2 linked regions of the Notamacropus eugenii genome follow. The protein of the gene in region 2 purifies or fractionates together with the protein of the main gene of each other region. This does not show direct contact. Links are inferred from orthologs where the notes say so. Each region holds a gene or a part of one and is shown on either strand. Other genes may lie near its edges.

Evidence for each region.
Region 1: the proteins of ASIC1 (region 2) and PICK1 purify together in Homo sapiens (affinity purification with western blotting; 3 studies listed by BioGRID and IntAct, with this or other methods). This does not show direct contact. The link is inferred for Notamacropus eugenii from reciprocal best matches to the Homo sapiens genes ASIC1 and PICK1.

Annotation. Positions count from the first base shown.
Region 1 is NC_092874.1:295,538,976-295,551,749, reverse strand, and holds the start of PICK1 (PRKCA-binding protein), read right to left. Parts: upstream 6,263-12,774; 5' UTR 6,248-6,262; coding exon 5,822-6,247; intron 4,251-5,821; coding exon 4,162-4,250; intron 678-4,161; coding exon 566-677; intron 1-565. UniProt on the Homo sapiens protein: Probable adapter protein that bind to and organize the subcellular localization of a variety of membrane proteins containing some PDZ recognition sequence.
Region 2 is NC_092874.1:222,183,746-222,196,313, reverse strand, and holds the start of ASIC1 (acid-sensing ion channel 1), read right to left. Parts: upstream 6,387-12,568; 5' UTR 6,290-6,386; coding exon 5,642-6,289; intron 1,673-5,641; coding exon 1,522-1,672; intron 745-1,521; coding exon 617-744; intron 286-616; coding exon 135-285; intron 1-134. UniProt on the Homo sapiens protein: Forms voltage-independent, pH-gated trimeric sodium channels that act as postsynaptic excitatory receptors in the nervous system, playing a crucial role in regulating synaptic plasticity, learning, and memory.

The sequences.
Region 1 (12,774 bases), about 73 Mb from region 2:
GCAGGCCTGTGACAGCTTTGGGGCCACTGGCTGTGACACCAAGATTCCCAGAGTTGGATAGCCCCCCACCCTTTCACAATATCCCTGGTCATCCAGCCCCTCCCTTCTTCTAGGCATTCGGCTTTTGCCATCTATGAGTCTGACCAGACTATGACTGGTCATCTATGACTTCACCCAAACCACTGATTCACAATGCTGCCCACCACAGCCCTCAAGGAGAAGCTATCTGCCAGCACAGGGCCTTGGTGAGGAGGTGAGCAAGGGGAGTGGCTAGGGGTGGCCCACTGAAGATCTGCCTCTACTCCTGGTACAACTCCAAGTCTGTGGGTCCCAAGGGTAACTTCATACGTGGATGTGGCATCATTTCCTATCTCAGTCCCTACAAAATGCTTGAGGGGATTGGGAATGTCAGGCAGAAAAAAATGTCCTGACCAGTCAAGAATCATTCCTAAGATCGAATAAATCCTCCCCCTCAGAGTTGCTCAAGGTTGAAGAAGGTAACCTGCCCCTCCTTGTAGGGGACCCCAAGAAACCTCCCTGTCTCCCTGCTTCCAAGCCCCCCTACCTGGACAATGTAGAGGCAGGGGCAGTACAAAGCCCCTCCCCCAATGCTGATCCCGATCAGGTTCTGTGAATCCTTCTGCAGTGTCACGGTCCCAGGAACTGTAGGGATGCCACTAGAGTACAGGAAAGGAGAGGGCAATAAAGGCAGGAAGGAGCCAGAACACAAAGGGTAGGGGAGAATCTGCCAAAGTCCCAGGCCACCACCTCCTATGGCCCAAGGCTCTCCCTCCTACCCCCCAACACCCAACAGCAAAGGAACATTCTCTATTCTAAGTCAGATTCTAGACGCCCCTTCTGTGAAGTCTTCTGATATGTACCCTCACGTCTCTGAGGCTGGGGTCATGGAACTGACAACAGGTGAGGCACAGATTCAATTAGCCCCATTTTAGAGATGAAAACGTAGAGGTCGGGAGAGGGACAATAGTCCATGTGTGCCAATGAGGGACAGCGGGAACTCGGGGCTGTTCCCTTGCCCTGCGTGCTGGCATCCACTGAACCAGCAGTTAATCGAGGGCTCCTCATGGAGCTCCAAGAGCTTGTCCAGCCTAGGCCCCCTCATCCTCAGACAGCTGACTGGTGGTAGAGTAAGTCTCCTAGCTCAGAGCCCTTTCCCATCCGCCATAGGACCAACAGTAAAACAACAACATGTCACTGGCTACAAGACAAAAGCAAACGCCAGTCAGTACAGTACAATGGAATAAGCCCTGGGCTAGGGAGGCAAGAGATCCTGCTTCAAGTTTTCCCTCCAACACTTCCCAGGTGGCCTTGGGCCAATTCCTTGTTTCTGAACCCCAGAGGTAATGGAGGTAATAATGAAGGTAATGGAGGTAATAACCCTTGTACCACCCACCTCAAAAAGTTGCTGTGAGCAAAAGACTTTGTAAATCTTAACACCCTATAGCAATGCGAGATGTCATTACGATTCATCTTTGTGCTCTCTGACCCACCAAGCCCCGAGTAAGTGCTGAGTAAATGCTTGATGAGGGCTGGCCAACTATCAATCGATCAATCAATCACCAAGCATTTGTGAGGTGTCTACCCTGTGCCAGGCCCTGTGCCCACCTCTGGGGATACACATACCAAGAATGAAATGGGCCCGACCTCACAAAGCCTGCATGCTCACAGGGGAAACAACAAGGGTCTTCATCACTGCAGACACAAGGTAATGAAGTACAAGGATGGGCACAGGCAGCTGGCAGGGGCTGCTTCTTGCAGGGAGGGGAAGGAGTAAGAGGCCAGTCTGGCCACCCAGCAGGTCTTAACCCACCATTCTACAAACCTGAAAGCCCTTGGGTCAGAGCAGGCCCTGAGCTAAAAGAGGGAGGACAGCCACATCCCTTCCCCAGATTAATAAATAAACACACTTTAGGTCTCTCAGATATACTGTGCTCTATACTTGGTAACCTTAAGGCTTCAAAGACAGTACCTGCCTCTGAGGAGCTCATTCTAGTTCAGGGGCTCAGACAAGATTTTGGGGATTGCTCCTATACCTCATGAAGGACTGGAATGTGTTAGGAATCCAAGATGTTGATGGGGGAGTCAAGGGAGGAGAGATGGGAGGGGAGGGGAGGAGAGGAGAGGATGGATGTTGAAATTGATGCCCTCCCCAGGAGGACTCCCTATGAATCTTGGGGATATAAGGTCTGGTTGGTGCCTAAAGTGCTATCCCCATCTTACAGATGAGGAAACTGAGGCTAGCAAAGGTTAAGTGACTTGCCTGGTGTCACAAACATATCTGAAGGAGGATTCAAACTCAGGTCCTCCCAATTCTAAGTCCAGCTGTCCAGGTAAGGTTTAAAAAATCAACAGGTAAGGATTCAGACTTGCCTGTGGATGGGGCTGGAGCCTCAGGCCTCACAGGTCCTGGGTTCTAGTCCTAGCTCCTACTAGGCACAAGGCCTAAAGGACACTGGGCAAGTCACAGAATTTCTCAGTAAAATGGAGAAATTGCTTTGTTCCCCTCACAGGACAGCTTTGGGAAATATTAAGACATTAACAATGCAAGTTATTACTAAGGAAGAAAAGCAAGTCTTAATCACTAAGGGTTTTGTAAGCACCTATTGTGTGCTGGGCTCTGAGCCCTCAGGAACCTTCCATTCTCTGGGGGAACAAGCAGTGCAGAGCTCAGCACAACCGCTCAGATCTTAGACCCCTCCCTTGTTCACTCCCACCCCTTACACAGGAAGGGGAAAGACCTCTGTGGCCCCCCAATCCCCTCACTGCACCCGCTGGGGGATACATGGAGAGGAAGCCTGGAGAGCTGGGATTTCAGTCACGGCCTGAAGGGGCTTCCAGTGATACCCTCAGAAACTGTATTTAAATGAATGTTAAATTTTTTTTACATGTAACTGGGAAATAGTTAACGAAATACATAAAATATATACTCTTAAAAAAGATTCAGAGTTAGCAAAGCCTTTGGAGATCATCTACCCCACTGATTTATGAAGGAGGAAGACCAGGCCCAGAGAAGGCACACTTGGGAGTAAGCAGCAGGGCAGGACCCCAGTCCAGGGCTTCAGACTCCAAATCCTGCACTAAGCCAAGCTGGTAAGGATGCAGTGAGGTCTCAGGGTGAAGGGTTTGGGACTTGGGGCCAGGAGGGCTTGATGGGGGGAGGTGGGAGATGTTGGGCAGGCAAGATGTGTAACTTCTCAGACTTGGTTTTCTCATCTGTAACATGGGAAAAGAAGGCAACAGGGTCAGAGTGAGGGGTCTGGATTTCCTAGCTCAAATCTGGCCTCAGACGCTAGCTATGTGACCTTGAACAAGTCACTTAATTTATTCACCTCAGTTTCTTCATCTGTCAAATGATCTGGAGAAGGCAGTGGCAAACTTCTCCAGTATCTTTGCCAAGAAGACCCCAAACAGAGTCACTGAAAACAACTGAACAGCAACACCGGGAGAGGGGCTCTCACTACTACCACCTCTGAGGCTTGAAAGGAAACCTATGTGGTGACTTAGAGCAGGACTAACAGGCTGTGTTGGCCTCCAGTGCCTGCCCGTCCCCTGATGTGACATCTGTTCCACACCTATGGCCACCCACAAGGAACACTAGGGCATCTGGGAGGATGGGGACAGAGCCAGGCTGGACTTGTTCTGGGGCTCTCTGGGGTCCAGGAAGAGACTTCAGTGGGGCCCTCACCTAAGCCACACCCAACAAGAGTAGCCTTGCAGCCTCTACTAGGAGACCTCCAAGGAGGGAGTCCCTACCTCACTGACAGCAGCCTGGCCTACTTCTGGACAAGTTGAATTGTTAGCCAGCTTTCCCTGACATTAACCCAAGGTGACTTCTTTCGATCTCTTTTCCCACTGCTGTTGGTGCTGCCCGGTGGTACCAAACAAGATCAGCCCAACACTTCCCCTGAATTGTGGCCGTCAGGCATGAAGAAAGCTTGCCTGGCTCCCGGGCCTTCTGGTCCCCAGGCTGCACGTGCCCAGATGTGCTACACCCCCTCCCCACCATTGTGGACACTTCCAGATTGTCAATGTTCTTCTCAGACACAGGTGCCCAGAACAGAAAACAATCCCCTCAGAATAAGGCGGGACCTTCCGTCACCTCTCAAACCCCATAAAAAAATGCTCTTTAGGGACACTCACAGCTTATCCTCCTCAATGTCATAATCCATGTCGGCAAACATGATTCCAAGGTTTGGGACAGGCTGGCCTCGAAGACTGATGGTCCAGTTCTGTAGGGAAAGGAGAACAAAAGTCTCAGAGAACTCAAGTGATGATGGAAGAAGGTCCTGAGGTCCCATCCCCCTTCTCTCCCCTGTACCTGCCATAGGTCCCAGCTCCTCACCCTCCCTGGAAGGCCAGATGAGGAACAAGGAATACTGAGATCTTCCCATGGCTTATACCTGGAGAAGGACGTCACAGTCCCCCTTCCCTTTCTGTCACATCTGGAGGTGTATGGTCTGCTCATGCCCCTTCCTTCCTATAGAACTTTAAGATGATTTCCAGGGGAGTCACTTTTAGTAACCAGAATCTAGCCCGAGCACCTTATTTTACCAATGAGTTCAGAAATGTTAAATGACTCGTTAAGCAGATGCAGGTAGTGAGCCGGTATATAAGTGTAGTAGTAAGCAAGCAAAGCTCTTACTAGGCCCCTACTACGTGCCTGACACCAGGCACTGAAACGTGCTGGATGTGGAAGGCCCTGATTTTAAATCTTTTCCATCTTGACTCTGTGATTTGCTTTCTACATGTTTTTCTTACTCAGAAACTTTTCTTGTTTCCAGGTTGTCCAGGCTCTTATGGAAATTTGTTGTAATAATAGTTATGTGGAAGTATTTTTAATCACTTCTGTTTTATAGATGAAGAACCAGAAGCTAAGACTTGGCCAGGATCACAAGGCCTTCAGAGTCACAGTGAGAATCTCAGGCTCTTACTAAACCTGGGGCAGGTCCTGGCAGTCTCCGCCTCCCATGGCAACAAAGGAGAGCCCCCATCCTTAGCCCCCGTCCCCTGCTCTATGGTCCCCGGAGCTCCCATGTCCTGATCAGGCTGCTGTCCCTGGCTCCCCTCAGCTCAGGGGCCAGGGAGAGACCCTCCCTTTCCAGGCCTGGAGCTAGAGAATGGTTTACAATACAAAGAACATTTATTAAACACCTATAGTATGCACGGCACCATGGTAGATTTTGGGGGAGAAACCAAGTTTCTGTAAATGGAAGAGATAAGCATTTATCCAGCACCTACGATGTGTACAGTGGAGGAAACTGGGGCAGAAGTTCAGACTGCCAGGGAGGCTGGATTTGACCTGGGTCAGGGATGCACCTACTTCCCCATCTCCTCCCAAACTGCCACACCCACCAGTCCAGTGCCAGGATGGGTGTGGGAAGGAGGTGGTCCCAGCATTTGTGGGGGGCGTCCTCCCCACACCCCTCACCGTCTAAGGACAGGAAAGTGGGTAGGGGGCGTTCTTGTGCCCTGCCCCCTTCCTAGACCCACCCAAACCTCCCACGGCCCCTCCCTTCTCAGTTCCAAACCTCCATGGCTAAGCCCCGCCCCTGTAAGTTTCTCCCCCTAGGGTTCCATAGCCCCCTCCTCCACTCTTTTTCAACCATTGGCCCCGCCCCTCGTTTAAGCCCCGCCCCCTCAATCCTCCCCCAGACCACAAGCCCCGCCCCCGCCTCCTAGCGTTCTAACGCCCCACAGGCCACTGCATGGACGCCCCGCCCCTTCGCTCTAAAGTCCCGCCCCGCCGTCTGGCCCCGCCCCCGTTCCCGTCAGCGCGCGGGGGCGGAGCCCCTTTTCTTACCACGTCGGGGATGATGAACTCGGACCTCTGCCTCCTTTTGCCAAACAGGAAGCTCACTGCCCCGGCCGCCCGCCCCCGGGGGCCTGTCCCCGGAAGCGGCGGCCGCCCCGGGGCCCGGGCCGGGTTCGGGCCGCGTCGGCAATTGGAGTCACCGGCCGCTCTACCTGCCCGAGGCCGCGACTGTTGCGTCACTTCCCGGGCGGGGCCGGAAGTCCCGTCCCTTTCGTTCCAACACTTCCTCCGCCTCCTGACCCTCTTATTTCCGGTTTCCTCTCGAGCTCCCCGAGCGCTTAAGGGAGCGGAAATGGGGGCGGGAATTCCACGTCGCCGTAGAGACCGGCTGAACGTGGCAGCGAATGATTGGGTCAGAGAGGCTTGGCGCCGCCCCCCGCCCTTGCACACAGTCCTCCGGACTACGGGCATCATTTCGCGTTCCCAAAGCTTTCCGTGGTTCGCTGCGGCCTCGTGCAGCCTGGGCCTCGTGCAGCCTCGGCGCCGGCCGTCACAGCCCCCGCCGGAGGGAGCGCGAGGTCACCGGGCGCGCCCCGCATTGTGCAGCCGCGGGGCAGAGGGGGCCGGGGCCCTTGGCGGGCGGGGGTGGCGCAGGGATGCGGGGACACCTTGGGCGGGCAGAGCCCCCTGCTGCCCCAGGTCCGCGATCCCCGCGGCGGGCCCGGAGCCAGGCCCGGGGGCCGCTCAGCGTCCTGGCGCCCCTGGTTTTGGCCTTAGTTGGCTTCGAATGTCCTGGAGGCCTCCCTGCCTTCCGAAGCCGCCCTTTCCCACCTGGGGCGCGGTCTCCTCGTGAGGGGCTCTCTGTGTGCACCCAGCCCGGGGGTGCGGAAGCGCTGAACACCTGGCAGTGCCTTGCACTCTGCCCAGTGCCCAGGCCACCTGACTCCGTCCCAGACCGCCGCTCCCTTGATTCCCTCTTGCCCCCCGCTGTCCACTTCTGGCCATTGTGGCAGATTTCAGGATTGTGACCGCCCGCTGTCGGGGTTCCGATAAACCTTGTCCTGGGCTGACAGCAGGCTTGGGTTGGTCGGAGCAGGGCCCGCGAGCCCCTGTTCAGGGTCCCAGAAAGCTGTGGAAACACAGAGGGGGTCTAGATGGGAATGAGGGACTGGTGGTCTAGGAAGGAGCTGGGTGCGGACAATGAAGGGGCAGCTGATTAACCGGGAAGGCCCGATGGCTTCAGGAGAAAGCCCGAGGCTTGGGCCTCGTGGGAACGTCCGGGGGCTTTTCCTTTTCGGGGTTCAGGTCCCATCCCCACAATTCCACCCTCCTAGAGCTTACGTTCTCTTGGCGTACTCAGCGTCTACTCTTAGCAACGTATAAAGTTAGGAACTAGTCCTGTCAGATGTAGAAACCAGTACAGCAACATGCATTTTTATTAAACGTTTCCCCGACTTAGATTTTAATCTGGAAGCTTCATTGGCAGCTCTGCAATGGGGAACTCCCAGGCGAAGAAACTCCCTCTACTGATGCAGGTGGCACCTCCTCCGAAACTTACAATCATAGAATTGAGTAGTTCAGTGAATTGGCCTCGTTGTGTTCGTTTTTGTTGCCGAAGAAGACCGTGCCATCAGAGAAATAATAACATGACTTGCACTTGACTTTGTTTTGAGTGAGGGAGGGCTGTGCAGGTCACCAGCCTCACTTCTCCAGAGCCATCTGAATCCAGGGACCAGATATTCATCAGGATGACTGGAGATGACCCAGGATGAGGCAATTGGGGTTAAGTGACTTGCCCAAGGTCACACAGCTAGTGAGTGTCAAGTGTCTGAGGTGAGATTTGAACTCAGGTCCTCCTGACTCCTGCAATGGTGCTCTATCCATTGCACCGCCTAGCTGCCCCCTCACTGTATGTCAGAAGGGAGCTGAATCCAATTCTTCCTGGCCTTGAGGCCAAGTCTCCATCCACTATGGCAGGATGTCAAGGTAGTTTTTACAGAGGAAAACACTTGGAGGTGGGGAAAGGGGGATCAGAAAAAGCCTCATTCTGAGCCCAGCCCTTGAACTGGAATTTGAAGGATTAATTAGAGGATTCTAAGATTTTAAGTGAGGAGAGAGTGCATTCCAGGCATGGGCTTCAGTCAGTGCAAAGACATGGAGACAGGAAATAAAAATTGAGTGAGGAAAAGCCAAAAAGTCCAGTTTGGCTACTCTACAGAATGCATTGGGCCAAGCAGATTGAGACCCTCTTCTATGGAGCGCCTTTATAGGTCCCATCTAAGTCTTTTTCCCAGTTCCTTCAGTTCATCCAAAAACAGCGTGAACTCCAGGCCCATCTTCCAGTCACCCTCCTCTGGATGCCCAAATATGGCACCTAGCACTGAGCACACTCAGCAAAGTACATCGAACTGTCACCTCTCTTGTTCTGGACACTGCCTCTCAATAACATCACATTAGCCTTCTTAGGTGCCATTTCCTACTACGCTGGTGTTCAGCTTGTGGTCCACTAAAAGCCCCATATCCTCTTCAGATAAACTGTTCTACAGCCACACCTCCCATGTTGTACTTAGGAAGCTGGATTTTTTAAGCACATGGAAGATTTCACCTTTACCCCTATTTATTGTTATTGCATTTGATTTGGCTCTATGTTCTATCTGGTCAAAGTCCTTTTGAATATGGCTAATCTATTGTGTTAATTATTTTAGTTTTGTGTAATCGGCAAATCTGATGTGTGCTATCTGTACCTTTATCCAAGTTATTAACTAAAAGAGTAAATGACAGGGCAGGGTCAAGCACTGGGAGACCTTCCAAGTTGACACTGAACCAGAATGGCAGCACTGGGGCCAGTTAACTAATTCCAAATTCATCCTTTCCAATTTGTCCAGAAGAATACTATGAGAGACTTATGATACGCTTTTCTAAAATAGGTGAACTACCTATTGCATCTCTTTCCTAGATTCAGGAGTCTAGTATCCCTGTCAAAAGAAGAAATAGAGTTAGGTTGGTATGACTCATTGGTGAAGCCATGCTGGCTCTTGGGGATTGCTGTTTCCATATCTAGACATTATTAATCATCTTTTTAATAATATAGCGTAGACTATTTCTAAAGGCCTTTTCAGGTCTGGTATTCTATGAAATAACTCACAGTTATAAACAAAATACTCAGCATGTATTACCTCATTTAATTTTCACAACTCTAAGGTAAACACTCATATTTTACAGCTCAGGAAACTGAGGCAAACAGAGGCTAAGTGACTAGCACACAGCTATTAAGTGTCTGAGGTCAAATTTGAATTGATCTTCTTGACTCTAAGGGGCAGTCTCCAGTGGTCCTGATCAATATCTTATCACTAGAACCAAATGATTCCAAGGGAGAAAGTGAGACTTATGACCTTGCACAGTCCCCTCTCACTTAAATCCAATTCGCTTGCAAGTCATGGCATCATCTTCCTCATGGACAAGCATCAGTCTTGACTCCTTAAGTCCAGCTTTCTTTCCACTGCGCCACGTAGCTGCCTATCCCATCAATCTATTCTTATTTAAACACAGCTTTTACTGTGAGATAAGATAAAAATGAAAACTAATAAATATAAAATTGGGCAAGTTAGTAAAAACATATAATTCATAATAAGGGATTTTAATTTTTGATTAATTATTGAGCTCTTCAGCTTCAGTATATTGAAAGAATACATAATTTCTTGAACCTTTGGTTTGAAAAAAAAAAATGAGCATTTGCCCTGATTCCCAATACAGTGTAAGAGACGAAAATTTGAAGGAAGAAACAATTCCAAACTTTTTATATAATAAAATAAATACTTGAAGGTAGGTCTCACTTCCCCCCCAAAATATGCCTTGTATAAAACCTCTATGACCTATTCAGCTTCCAGAACAGATTGTTTAATTTTCATTGTGAGCCTTTACGCCTCAGAAATCCACAAGCACAACAAATCAGTTTGAATTTATTGTTTTATTGACTGTCTGAACCTTAAAGTGGAGAAAGTGTTCATGCAGATTAGATTTAAAAGTGTGCCCTCCCTACAGTTTTTTTAAAAGAGCCTTGATTGTTACTCATTTACGAAAACACTCCCGCTTAAACTTAATGTTATACTTCAATGTATATCTGTTTGTTTCCCTTTCAAAGAGATCCGAGGTGATCTTTATTGAAGTTTCTGCAAATCTGAATGTCTGATCACCAATTCATAGTCAAGTCTAAATGGTGGAGTTGTCTGCTTTACCTGCTTTCTGAACAATGATCACCAGAGCTCTCTGGTCTGTCTTCCAGCCAATTCCCATCTTTCCTCTATATTTTAATGTAGTATCAAGTCACCAGATAAACTCAAGGTCTTGAGTTGCCTTTAAGCACCTGTACATTCGGCATGATACCAACCATATTCTGAATTGGTGGAATCTTGTCAAGGTTCTTTTTCAATGAAGGAATGCTTCCTTACTTCTAGTTGTAATAGAGAGGAACTACTTCCTTGGGCTTTTCCATTTCTTTTGTTCTAGTTTGGATTTCCCTTCAAAACTTCGTGAATTAATAATGTTTCTTTGAGATATAAACTGTTACCAAGGTTTGTTTTTTTGAGGGAGGGAAGGCTGTTCATTTGAGATTCTTATGTATCCATGAAAATATGCAAATATTCCTTTGTTTTCTCTTAAATGTTTGTTAGTAAACAGTACATTCACACATAAATTCGTGGTCTAATTTTGCTACACACAGGAAGAGAGCAAAATACTCATGGCACTCCTTTACAAGGATAGTGTGAGTCTTAAGTGAGATAGCAGATATAAAATGCTTTGCCAGTGTCAAAGCTGTACCCCACAAATGCCAGGTTTCTTTCTCCTCTTCCTGTTTAATTCTAAGTCCACTTATCAGGGTCAAATCAGCAGAGGTATACCATGTACCAGGCACTGTGCTAAGCTTTGAGGATACAAATAGAAGGAAAAGAAGGTTGATTGCTGCCCTCAAAACATTTCCATTGTAATGGGAGATGACATCACATAAAAAGGAGTGGACAAAAGGGGAAAGAGGAAGGTGCCAAAGTCTAGAGAATGAAGGATGGCTGCTTTAGGTGCTTCCTCCTGGTTGAGTGGTGCTTGAGCAGAGATGAGGGAGTGAGTGCTTTCCAGGTGTGAAGTAACAACCCGTACAAAGTCACAGAGGCTGAAGGTGGAGAAGCTTGTGGGAGGAATAAAGCCAGTGTGGTCCAACCATCCCTTCCTGTGCTTCAGCTACAATGTTATTGAGTCGTTTCCGTCGTGTCCAACTCTGTTATGATTCCATTTGGGGTTTTCTTGGCAGAGACTGCAGTGAGTTGTCACTTCCTTCTCCAGATCATTTTACAGATGAGGAAACTGAGGCAAACAGGGTGAAGGGACTTGCCCAAGGTCACACAGCTAGGAAGTATCTGAGGCCAGACTTGATGAGTCTTCTTGACTCTGTGCACTATGATGGCATCACTTGGTTGCAACTACCTGGATCGTGGAATTTAAACTGTACTTCCTGGTACGTGCTCGGAGCGAACATTCAAGAAATGTTTTTGTTTTTTAATATCTTAGGTATGAGGAACTCCCAATGAGGAAGCTCCCTCCACCAATGCAGGTAATGCACTTGCTCTACAACTTATCTTGGAGAGCTTCCTAGGTCCAAAGTTACAAAGCCAGTATGTGTCAGCATTCGAACCCAGGTCTTCCTGACTCTGAGACTGGCTCTCTAACCACTGGGCAGAACAGCCTCTCCTGATTAATTTGCTAATCTGATTAACTTATTAGATAGAATTGTCAGTGCTCTACCCTCTGCCTTTGAGGCCCCGCTGCTCCTGGGGCTCCCTCGGAGCCTGGGATGGCAAACCCAGTCTCAAAGATAGGACTGGCTGGTTCCCTTGGGGGGAGGTAAACAGGGGAACCCGGAAGCACCCTTGATTCCTGGGGAAATGCTGCCACCTTGTGGGCACTGGGGAAATGTCACAGCTGGGATTCCCTTCACCAGCACAAAGGGGTAATACTGGATCTGGTTAGCAATGGAGAGAACCACCTTCCCAGGCACCATGGACAGTCACCAAAGGGGTGACCTGCTTAGTGAAATGGGAGAGCCAATTAGTATCTGTGTGATGTTGCGGAAAGAGTCCTAGGTCTGACATCAGAGGACCCAGGTTCAAACCCTGTCTGATGCATCTACCCTGTGTGACCTTGGCAAGTCATTTCCCTCCCTAGGTCTCAGTTTCTTCCTTTGTAAAATGAGAGGCTTGGACTAGATGACTTCTGAAGTCCCTTCCTGCCCTTTTAGAACATGATCTTCTGATCTTCCCCACCAGGCCACCTCAGAAAAACAAGAAAAGTAATGAGGCCCTTTGCATACACCCCTTAATGGTAGTCTTTTCTTTTAGCCTATTTTATTTTTTTAATGATTTTAAATAATTTATTTTTTTGTTATTCCACACTTCACAAACACTAACTAGCAACTGAATTTCTGTATGCAAAAAGAACAGTTAAAAGAAGATTGTACACTGACATCTTTCTCTCTCACAGGTCCTTTATAATCAATTCAGACAAGTCATTTACTAAGCACCTGGGAGAGCACCTGTTCCAGATGCTGAAGGACACATAAAATGTAGATAGAAGATGGAAAATGTAACTAAAATATGATCCCTGACCTTATGAAGTTTTCAGTTTAATGTGACAAATAATACATGTTCATAGATTTAAGACAGAATGTGTAAAATACATAAGAGAACAAAGCTATATTATTATAATCCCCCAAACTCACCCCTCTTCCCTAATCCTGTTCCTATCAAGGATACCAGCATCTTGATAGTGTGCAGCCTCAGAACCATGGACAGATGCAGCTAGGTAACCCATAGGCAGGTGATATAGGGGGTCTCAGCCCCCCAGGAAACTCTGTGCAGTAGCCTGGCTTCTTGGGGCCTGGTCTGTCCAGCTTACATTCTAATGGAGAAGACAAAGTGAAAAGGAGAGGGGAAGGTATTGGGGACAGGGCAGGA
Region 2 (12,568 bases):
CAGAGGACAGCTGGGGCCTTCAGGAAGTAGTTGGAGAAGAAGCTATGAGGCAGTCAGCCAGGGGGGAAAACCTTCAGATCCTTCTAGGTGCATTCAGTGGGTGTGAGAAGAAGAAATTGGGGCTAGGGGCAGACCTGGCATGTGCACCATACGGCAGTTGCAGTTCTCCACTAGATAACGCGTTTCACAGTCAATTCGACAGGCTGTGATGCTGTACGAGTCGAAGAAATCTGAGTCCATGGTAACAGCTTTACAAGTACCCCAGGGTGGAGGCAGGTAGATGAGCTGTAGGGAAAATGGAGAAACCAGGGCTAATGGAGGGTAGAGGGGAAAATCACCTCAAAGGCCCCCTAACTAATGATGATGGGGATTCAGAAATCAAGTATTTTTCCTCCCTTTGGTAAACTCCCTAAACCCTAGATGTTTCTTTACTAATTTTGCATGGCCTGATTGACTAGCTTCCGTTCTAAATGCTTGGCCCCAATTCATCCCCTTGGTCTCCTTTACTTGGTTCCTTCCTCCAACCTGACTTCTATTCTTTCCCCAGTTTCCAGTTCTAATTCCTTTCCAGGTTCTAGATCCCAATCAGTAGACTGTTTTCTAATGTATGGCTTACCCGTTGCTCCTGGCAAGCCACAAAGGTCTGGAACCCAGGAGCCACACCAAAGCCTAGCTGGTCAATGAAAGGCGGCTCATCCTGACTGTGGATCTGCACCTTGATCCCAGCCTCGAAGGAAGTTTCATCTGTAACAGTAATGTCAGGAAACATGCTTACAAAAGGAAGGGTTCTTCTGACATGATTTTCTGACATAGTTTGCCCCCACCTTTCTGTATCCTGGAAATCATTATAGATGATTGGGAGTATTGAGGCTAGAATGCTTTTAAGGGAAGAGAGGTGGAGGGAAAATGTGGCTACTTGAAAGGAGTGAGGGTTAAGATCCCCAAGTTTCTCCTGAAGCCAAAGATCCATTAGGTCTAAAAAGATCCCTACTCAGCATTCTCATCTGCTTTTACTCATCTATAATTCTCTCTCTCTTCATCTTTTTCTTTTTTTCTCTCCATCTCTTTTTTCCCCACCTCTTCCTTTCTCTTGCTCTCTCTCCCTCCCTCCTATCTGTCCCAAGGCCCCTGAGAGCATATGGCAGGCAGCCTGAGAGAAGATGGAGTTATTTATAGAGCTGAGTGGCGGTTTCTGATAGAAAATGATGGCTGGTTACCTTGGAGAGGAACTGAGCCAGGATGGAGAGCAAGGAAAGAAAGGACAGATAGGCAGGCAGACAGACACTGGATGTCAAAGAAACAAAGATACAGAAAGATATACAAAGTGAAAAGGAAGTTCTCTACTCTGGATGCTATAGTCCCAACAGAGACGGGGAACTTGGGAGATGAGCACTTGGGGCTATGACCTGGGGAAGGCACAATGTTCAGGGCTTAGGTTTTGGGGAGTAAGTGCTATGATGAAGGATGGCTGGGAAGATGGCACCCTGAGTAGTGATGGCAGTGGCAGTTAAGTGCCCATACCCGTCTCTCCCCAGACTGGCAGGTACTCATCCTGTTGGATGTCCAGCATTATCTCTAGCCCGTTGCCTGTCCCACCCTTCATAGTCTTGAGCAGTGGCCTCCCATCCTGGCCTGCGTTGAATGTGTAGCATTTTCCATAGCGTGTAAAGACCTGGTGGGAGGCAGAGAGACAAAACCTGAGCCTGAGCCCCTTCCCCTCTAGAACCTTCTTGTCCCCCAGTACTAAGGCAAATTACCCTTGATTTGCCCAGACTCCTGACCCCTAGAACTATTTTATCCTTCTGGAACTAGCCTGCCTACCTAGATCCCAAACCCTCCTGCCACACAGCACAAAATATCCCCTGCCCCTCAATGTGACAGTGCCATTCCCTCTGGAATAGGGCCCCCTTCAAGTCCCAGTCCTTCATGTCCCTCCCCCATAGATCCACCACCCTGTATCTCTTGGCCAATAACCAACGTTCCTCTCCTCTCCCATAACCTTAATCAATTTATCTCATTATCAGTTATAGCACAAACCAAGTTTATCACCTAATCCCTCCCCATACTGTCATGCCCATTTCTGCCCCTTGGGCACTAGGAGCCCAATCAGTAAGCACACTCACCAGATCCTGTGTCAATATGCCAGCCACAACCTAATGATAACCAAGACTATCAATGCCTTTGGCCCAAATCCTTGAACCCCAAAGTGGAGAAAGGTCACTTTAGCCATCCCATGCTCTATCTCTCCTGAGGAACTCCCCTTGTTCCTTATGCTTCTCTCATTACAGAAAAAGGTAAGGACAGAAACAAAATCAATATGCTGGGCTTGGGCTAGGTTTACCTGAATACCTTTTGATAACTGGTACCTCAGCCCTTCCTGGCTACCTCCTGGGGTACTAAGTACCACTAACCAAGGAACACTTGAGAAGTCATTTCCACAGAGGGCCCGGAAGAACTCTCTGCTCACAGACAGAAAGGCCCTTGACCTATAGTGTTTATTCCATGGCCCCCACTTCTCATGCCTTTTGATCTTCTCAGGATCCTCTTAGGAGAAAAGAAGCATGGTCTGGTGGATAGAGTACTGGATGGAGTATCATTGGATTTGAGCTCTAATGAACTTGGTTCAAATCCTACCTCTGACATTTACCAGCTATGTGACCATGGGCAAATCACAATCTCCCTGTGTTCCAGTTTCTTCATCTATAAAAGGGGGATAATAATACCCCTAGTACTTACCTCACGAGGTTGTTGTGAGGATCAAATGGGATAATATATGGAAAATATTTTACAAACTTTAAGCACCTTATAAATGTCCATAATTATTAAACCAATGTTCCCACAGAACTAATTAAGAATAACAGTTTTCCACAATCTAAGGGTGTGTGGTTATAACCAGGGTACTGTTACCCTTGAATAGTGTAGAGTCCCAAAGAATATTATAAAATTACTATAACTCAAGGGTAATTAAAGTGTGTGTGTGTGTATGATCTGCTACTTTGCCAACTGAGTGAAGCCTATGGACTCCTCAGAATAATGTTTTTAAATGCATAAAACAAAATACACAGGATTACAAAAGAAACCAATTAATACTTTAAAAAACTGCCACCAAATTACATTTTTATTTAAAGTTCATAGACCTCAAATTAAAAACCCCACGTAAAGAGAGAGCTTAGGAGAAAAAGAGAAATGAGTATGGTAGAGTCAGAAATGAGGAAGAAAAACACCATTTCTTTGCTGATTCCTAATCCCCACCCTCAGAAGAGTCCAGGGTCCCAGAATCTAGAGATCCTTAGGACACACCTGCTGACCTTCCCCACAACCAGGAAAAATACTCTTTTCCCTCATTTTGTGGATTAAGTCCAGCTAGCATAACCATAGGATCTGAGACTCTTAAATTCTTCTGTCTTAATCCCAAATCAAAGCCCAATGACTTGCCAACCAGACCCAGAGGAGTGTGGTAGTAATCTGAAGTCTTCTTGAATAGAGTCAGACCCCTCCGTCAGGAAGATCATTAGGTATTGCTAAGGTATTGTGGTATCCTAGAGAAAGCAACAGATTTGGGGTCAAAAGACCTGGGTTCAACTCTTAGTTCTGTCATTTACTTGTGTGACCTTGAATATGACACTTCTCCTCCCTAGGCTCCAATTTCTTCATCTACAGAACTGGAGAGGGACAGGAAAAGGGCAAGGAAGTCAAAGATAGAAATTAAGGTCCCGTATATACCAAAACATTCATATGAGCATTCTTTGTGGTAGCAACAAAGGAGTTGTCCATCAATCGGGAAATGCCTGAAAAAAAACCATGGCATATGTATGTAAAATAATGTTCCTGTGACAACTATGAAGAAGTCAGAGAAATGTGGAGATCTATATGGACTGAAGTAGTAAAAAACAAAACAAAACAAAAAAAAAACAACAGAACCAAGAGATTAATGTATATAACAACTATAATCATGTAAAGATTGCTAAAAAGAAGTTGAACTCTCAGTAGTGGAAAACCAGCAAAGTTCCCAGAGAAGAGATAATGAAACATACCTCCTTCCTTACAATGGACAGGACTACCAGGACAGAATATTGTATACAGTCTCTGTACCAGACAGTATCTGTATTCTATATTTCTGCTTAATTGTTTTCCTTTGTGACAAGGGAGCATTCATTCCAGAAAGAGCAATGAGAAAAAATCTGATATGAAGACAAAAGGCATTAATAATTTTTAAAATAAAAAATAAGAATTAGGTGATTTCTAAGAATGTTTTCCTTTTTATTATTTTATGATTCTGGTAAAAGTGTCTCATTTACTAATTTTTCATTAATTTGTTTATTCAGTATTTGAATATCTAACGTGTCCTATGGAGGATTTTCAGGAAGCAAAAGATTCAATATCTATCACTAGTTGGGGAAATAAAGGGACTAAGTGAGGGTGGGGGGTGGGGAAAAGGGGGAATGAATTTTAGCCCATCATGCTATGAGATACTATTGCCACCTGGTGGTTCCAGATGAGAAGTGCCAGCTTATCCCTGGGCACTGACATAACCCTTCTCCCTAAATCCTCTCTTCTCTACTCCTGATGTATCTATTTCTGTAGGATCTTTTGTTTATTCTTATGGGCTTGGGAGCACAATGGCTATACTTCTACCAGGTCTCCATTCTTTCTGATGAGACATAGTCTGTCCATCCCCCTATTTCTCCTGCCAAGATTTAGAACCTAGACTTTAGAGAAAGGGAACAGAAAATGTTTTGAGAAGTCAAATAATTGGTGTCTTGGAGAGAGGACAGGTGTCATGGTGACCTCTGACCACACCAACTGTACAGACTCTGGAACTCTTAAGCAAGATTGGGGCTGGGATTCCTTCTGAGAGTGGAACCCCAGGAACCCGAATGATTCCCAGTACCTAGTACTAGCAACCCTTTCCCCAAGGATTCAGAATAGTTGAAGATGGAGGGAAGCCAGCCATGGGAAGATCATATCCCATTACTGGTCACATATAGTCTTGACCTTGTGAGATGCAGTAATACATACACACACAAACACACACACACACATACACACACACACACACACACACACAACATGGCGGGGATAGAAGACAGAACTTTAGAAAAGCACTAGAGAAGAATATATCTCTGTATGGGCCATTAATGCCCAGGAAGCCTTTGTCTCTGGTCTTGATGCCATGAAAGAGGGAAGCAATTAATTGTCTGCCCACTCCCTCTCCCCACCTCTACCTTGTAATAGACCCTGGCAGAAGCTCCTGATTCCTCTTCTCTTTTGTCCCTCTGTCCACCAGATTCCTGGATATGGACCAAACCTCAGAGGATCCTAACCTCAAATCCTCTCTTTCTTTCTTTCTTTCTTTCCCTTCTCAGATTCCCACTTTCAAGCCCTGTCCCAAAGGCCCTGAAACAGATCTATCATCTAGAGATGGACTGGAGGCAAGGGTAAAGCTTGCAAAGGTCTTTTTACAGGAACCAACCCCTCTCTTAGGGGAAGGGCATTGTGGAGGGGAATTTCGTAGGACACAGATCAGATGCCACTTGGAGTAGAAGCCATTGGGATGATGCTCATGCCCCTGGAGGTAATGGGAAGGCAGGCCCCATGCTCTCTGGGTTGTTGGGGATGAAGGGGGATGACCCTGACTCACCACAGAAAAGTTGTGGGGGCCACAGGGGCCCCCTCGATAGGAGCAGTAGAGCAGCATGTCCTCCAGCCGGTGGCAGGAGCGATTGTAGAAACGGTGCAAGTTGAACGGCTCCCCAGAGAAGGCATCAGGGCCTGGTGGAGCAAGGGGCACACCAGGGTCTTCCCCATCCTCCAGCCCGAGCAGTGGGGCCAGGTAGAGCAGGTCAGGATAGCTGAGCTGGGATAACCGCACAGCATTGGTGTTGCAAAAGGTAACTGCTGGAAAGGCCAGCTCAGAAGTGGAAACCTCATCCAGCAATGTCACATGTGGGTAGCTTCGGTAATAGGTCACCCGATCTCCTACCTGGTACAAAAAGGTGCCCAGTGCCAGGGCAAAGGCCGCAGCCCATAACGCCTGGCGTGGCCCTAAGCCTCCTGACACAAAAACATGGCTGGCACCATGGAGGGTACAACTGTTGGCAAAGGCCACCAAGTCCATAGCTAAGTCTTCCTCTTCCTCCTTTGCCTCTTTCTCCTCTTCCTCTTCCTCCTCTTCTGACTCAGATTCAGATCCCTCTTTCTGCTGTTGGTTGGAGCCCCAGCTGTCTCTTATAGTCCCCGGGTCCTCACCCGAGGAGAAGGACAGAGAACAGAAAATTTGGATGGGCATCTTGGGGAGATCAAGGGAGGGATGATGTCCCCGGGACTGAAAGGATGGAAAGAGGAAAGGGGAGGAGCAAGAAGAAAAGTGGGTAAGATGCCCAGGCCTGGACTAGGGGCAATGCCAGCCAGTCGTGCCTCCAAGCAGTCCAGCTGTCTGTGCCTGAGCCCTTAGTGAGAAACATAGAGGGAGAAGAGGGAGGGAACTTGGGGGCGGAGCCGGGGAAGAGGCAGAGCCGTTCAGTCATCTATGCTGCTGAATAATTGATGGCCTATAAGAAGAGGGAGGTAGTGAGGAGTGGAGCCTACCACCTTCAGCTAAGGGATGAGGAACTGGCTATGAGAAGGCCACTCACAACTCCCATCCACCCACCCGCACAGACAAAGAATCCTGGAGGATTCCAATTGCTTAAACGAATGACCAGTGCTCCTTGTTTCTACCTCCCCCATGAAATACAGAGGGTCCTGGTCCAATAATCACTTGTATCTTTGATCTAGCCACAGTAACTGACTCAGCAAATCCCTCTTCCCCTTCCCCTCCCCCCCACAAATACCTACACCCCAGGTTCTGATTTAAATCACTCTCCAAACCCATAATAATCATTTTCTGGATCTCATCCTGACCTAGTCCGTCCTCTGAGCCTATGGTCTCCAGTTCTTTCTAAATCACAGCACTTAACTAACCTCTCCCTATAACTCCCCTCCTATTTTTCTAGTCCCTTCTATTGGACTCTTACTCCTCTCCTCATCCATCCTACAATAAATCCAACTGATGCCTCCCCCCCTTCCCCCGCTTTCCCTTTCCCTCTGTGGCTTTTAGGGCAGCCCAAAGATCCATTAGCACAAGTCTTTCAGTGACCACAGACTCATTTGTAGCTAGATATTTCCCGGCATTATGGTGGGTGGAGGTGGGGGTAGAACCCCCTCAATCACCTAAAAAGCTTCCTGGCTGCTCTTCCACCTCTTTGCCTGCACCATCTTCTCCCCCTCAACACCTCCCAACCCCCTCCCCCACTGTCACTCTCCTACTGTCTTTCAGACATCAGTTCTAGAAATCTTATCCTAAACTGTGGGGCCAAGGTCAGGCTGGGTGATTTGAGACTGAAGGCTGAGTTCTACTCAGGGCTCATGTTTGCTGGCTTCCTGTCCCATCCTTTAGCCCTTTTCTCATTCTCTTGTGTCTTTAGTCCTTCAAGCATTCCTTCTCTCAGGCCCCTAGGCCAACATATCCAGCTCTCCCCTTCTGGGGGGGCTCTTAGGTCCAATCAGCTCTCATAGACTTCCTGGTCCCCCAGTCCCTCGGGGGACTCTGATTACTTCAGCCCAGTGGGGAAGAACTTGAGCTGCCCAACCTAGTCTCCTTTGCTGGGACAGTGATGGAGGGGTAGGGGCGGAGAGAAAGACAAATAGAGTTAACTCTTGTTTTGCTGTGTCAAGCTGAGAACAGGCAGATGCTAGAAGAATCCTCTCCCCCACCCCAGGTCTGTTCTGCCTGAGGAGTAGTCCTGTTGCTTAAACCATAGCTCCAATACAGGCTTTTTCCTTCCCTCTGCTTCTCCTTTGTAACCCTTTATTTCTTCCAGCTGCATTCAGAGTTTTGCCAGGATGTTGAAGGGAAGCTAGGGAGGTTGGGAGGGATAGGAGCCAAACTCCTAGGGATTCTCTGTGCTGGATGGTGGCTAGAATCCAGGACGCCTGGGTTCTATCATAGACAAAGTGAGCCTCTTAGAGTTAGTTTCTTTGTTGAGAAGGGGGGACATAATGCAGGAGAAAACAAAAATATCAAAGCAGAGATGCAGCAAGAAATGCAGAGATGTGGAGAGATACACAGAAAGGCCAAAAGAAACAGAGAAATTGGCACATGGAGACAGAATTAGAAAGATATGTACAAGGAGCTACAGACAGAAACATGGAGAATCGCAGACCTCAAAAAGTACAAAGAGCTACAGAAGTAGAAACAAAAAGAAACAGTGAGAAAGAAGTTACTGGGGGAAGAGAGACCCCATTCAGATATTCTATAAACCATCACCACTGAGGGATTCTGGTTCTTGCCAAACATATTTATGAATTATACAATTGATGAATGGTACAGAGATTCTCTAGTCATTTTCAGGGCGTATGATGATTTCTCAGCTAGACTATAAACTCCTTGAGGGCAGCCATATAGTCTTTTGCCTTTTGTCTCCCAGACTCCTGATTCTGGTGCTGTGCATACCAAAAGTCCAATACCCAGCTAGAGCTGGGGGCAAATGCTTATGTCCTCTGTGGTCACGAGAGGGCACTGTGCCCCACCCCACTCACTCCTACCTACTGGGTACACAGAGTGAAGTTTGGGGAATTTGGCATTGGGATTTTATTGTTATGAGTCAGGGTTAAGTAAATATACATATACCGGGGAGGAGGGAAAGCTGGATTCTTGTATACACACACACACACACACACACACACACACAAACGTATACACACATATACACACACATCTTCATAAACATCACTAAAAATAAATGCTCTTGCATTTGGGCATGCAGGCATTGTCTTTCTTCTTACTTTTACTCCACCCTGTACATGGCAATCTTTCTTTTCCAACCAGAGACACATAGCCTTCTTCCTGCATCCCTCCAACATCTGTGTGCAGAGACTCACAGAGCACACACACACAGAGAACACAGAGTATAGAAATATTGAACCCATCAGGCAACCTTTACCACCATCCACCCTGATTTTTGCCTTTTCTCCCTTTTTTCTCTTGTAGCCCTCTCCATCCTATAATGGATTCCTTCCTCCCAGACCCACCCCCATCTCCTTCTGCCAGGGGTGGCTCTGACCTTCTGTGGCTCGACAACTTTGAACTTTTCAGGGCTCACCAGCAATTCTCATCTTCCCCTAGCTTTTCAGTGATACAGGCTTCTGAGGTTGGACCATGGGGTTGGATGGATGAGCAACTGATGAAGGGACAGCTGCACACACTCACTCAAATACATGTCCACAAACCCATGCACAGAGCACACACAAAGACACACTGATAGTACATGCAGAGAGAAGCAATCTCGAATACACACATTGAACTTTAATAATGCTCTTTATCACAGACTCCTTGCCATCCCCTTCCCAAGCCTGGGAGTCTTGCCACCCTATGTGACTCTCCACCCAGAGCTTCTCTCTCCAGAGCTGCCTGCCTTTGAATATCTGTTTCTTTCCATCTATCTGTTTTTGAAGCATCAAATATAGGCAAGATCTGGGTCCAGGATATGTATCCACTGACACACATTAGTCCATGGACGTATGCTTGCTTTCTCACAGTTACAAAGAGGAGCTCTTCACCTTCTCAAGACCCCCTACAATCACACACAGTTATAATAGTGCAGTCTATGTTTGAAGTGTCTAAAGTGAAGCAGTTCTCTTTACAGGAACTGCTTCCATACAACAGAATTGGGATTAGAAGGGAATTTAAGGGTCATTTTACTTTAATATTCTGTGCCATGTACTAATTTCCCTTACAAAATTCCTGAAGAGGGGTCTTTCAGCCCTTACTGATTTCTACTGGAGAAATCACAACCCTAATTCTATTTTCAGATACCTAAGTTATCAGATACCTACATTAGGACATTCTTCCTTTCGTTAAGCTGCAATCTTGCATACAACTTCACAATCACACACACAAGCATACCAAGTTACATATGCTTTGTCGCACATTCTCTAAGTTACATGCAAATGTGTAGTTGCTTTAAACGTACATACACTTATTTATACACATAGAAGTATGCATATACATATTTCTACTGCTACTATTATTACACACAGAGAAAGAGTTTTGTGCATGGTGCTGAAGAAGGAGTCACACTTTCGGAGACAGAAAAGATAACTGAAAGATTGTTTATGTGTACATTTGTGAATGGAGGTATGTTGTAATGGATGGACGCTATAGGGACATAGATTTCATCCAAATAAACCTCAGTTCAAATTCCATTTCTACCATTTATAAACCTGTGTAACATCAGGCAAGTTATTTAACCTCTCTGAACCTCAATTTTCCGTCTGTAAAGTAAATGGTTGAACTAGGGCCTCTAAGGTCCCTTCCAGCTATAGATTCTATGATACTTCTTTATGCACAGAGGTATACACACACACACACACACACACATATTTCCAATGACACACACAGACACACACATTTACTCTCCCCTAATTATGTATACTCATATACTCTCCTCTAGTTATATACACCCTCACAAGCTTTCCTTGTCATACATGCAGAGGTTCATGCATACACATAGTCCCTCCTCGAATTGGGCACACGTGTATCCACACATCCTGGTCATTATCAAAAAGTTGTACAAAACCCTGTGCTGGTCAGATGATGCTACAGATAGTAGCAACATGACTGTTAACTTGGCAAGATTGCTTCCAAATCTGATACCTTGGCAGTCAAAATATATTAAGGTCATATGAATAGGTGCATGGTTCCTCATCAAGTACCACATTTCTCTGGCTACAAGGCTCCCTTCTCATCCCAGAAAGGACACACCAATGGTTTGGAAAACATTTACATTTAAAGGCCTTGATGGATCTTGAGGAAATGAGTCAGACTTCTTAACCCATTCCCTAGAGAGTAGCCTTAAACAAAGCAAAGAGGATCTGGGGAGCAGCTTGTGGAATGGTGTGACAATGATGAGCCCTATTCACACCCTGGTAGTTTTTCAAGGAGACCCTTCTTTGAGACTTTAATGCTTAAAAGGCATGGCAATTTTTGGCATGTTATAGAATGATAAAGATGGAATGTAGTTTGGTATATATTTTCAGGACTTGGTGATGACTGACTTTCTACTGATGTACCTCCTAGAACTTAGCTAGGATGGTCTTCCGATGATAGTCTTCCAGGCCTATACTCAGACTTTCTAGCTTGGAATCCTCTGCCAGGCCTTCTGTTCTGTGGGCATGGTTCTGAAAGACCCAGGGTCACCTCCCTGCCATGATAAGGCACTGGAAGACTTAGTGGGAATCTGCGATATGGGAAAAAGAGCCAAGTAGTGGGTAGAAGGGCTTAGCCATAAGACATGAATTTAAACACAACATTTACATCCCACATTTTTTTTACAGAGATGCCCAGATGTGCATAGACACACACCCTGCACAAAATGATGAGTGTTCCTTACTGGCTCCTCTCCCTTCTGCCAGTGGCTCCAGCAGCTGAGCAAGGTGCTATACCTTGGCAATGAATATCGCAAGAGGAATCCAGCTAGGAAGTAGGTGGGATCAGAGCAAGAAATACTGGAGAACAGAGGAGGGAGATAAGACATGAAAAGCAGAGGGGGAGAAGTTAGCAGCAGAGAATAGAACCCAGGAATTCTAACACCCAGCTTCATTCTCTACTCATCCCCGAATTCAATGTGTGTTAAAATTACTTTCCCCAACCTTATCAATTGCTTAGGGCAACTTCTGGGAGAGTCCTGGCCCAAAGGAACTGGAAAATCTCCAGAGTCAGGAGAGAGATAACCACATTGCACCAGGCACTGTTCTAAATGTTTTACAAATATTATCTCATTTGATCTATTTGTTTTATTTATATGTGTGTGTATGTATGTACATGTGCATGTATGTAGATGGGTGTATTTGTATACATATATATAGATGTATATATAGATTGGTTATCATGCCTTTTAAGCGTTTAAGTCTCAAAGAAAGAGTCCCCTTGAAAAACCACCAGCATATGAATAGGGCTTATCATAGTCACACCATCCTACAAGTTACTCCCCAGATTCCCTTTTCTTTGTTTAAGACTACTTTCTAGGGAATGGTTTAAGAAGTACGACTCATTTCCTCAATTTATACACACACACATACCATATACACATATGTGTAATACACACATATGTGTGTATATATATATATATATACACACACCATACACTTATGTATACATATATATTCCATTCTCAGCTCATATTAGGGAGAAAAAAGGGAGGAGTACAGGGAGCTCAGGGGTCCTAAGAATTCTATACCATAGAGGTTTACTGAAGAGATGAATTGTGATAGAGCAAAATGAGAGGTAAGTGAAATGAAGCACCTTGACATCACTCGGTGTTTGAGCCTCTCATTCCCAAGATTCAGATGCCATTCCTGCTATTTCACCTTGGTCCCTCCACTTAGACCTATCCCCATTCTCAAGATTTAGATCCTTTCCCTTGGAACGGACTTGGTCCTTAGCTCTGTTTTCTCCATCTCTATGTCTAATGTTTAGCATTCAATTCTCCTCTCCCAGAGTCACAGACATTGAGAGTGTTTTCAGGAG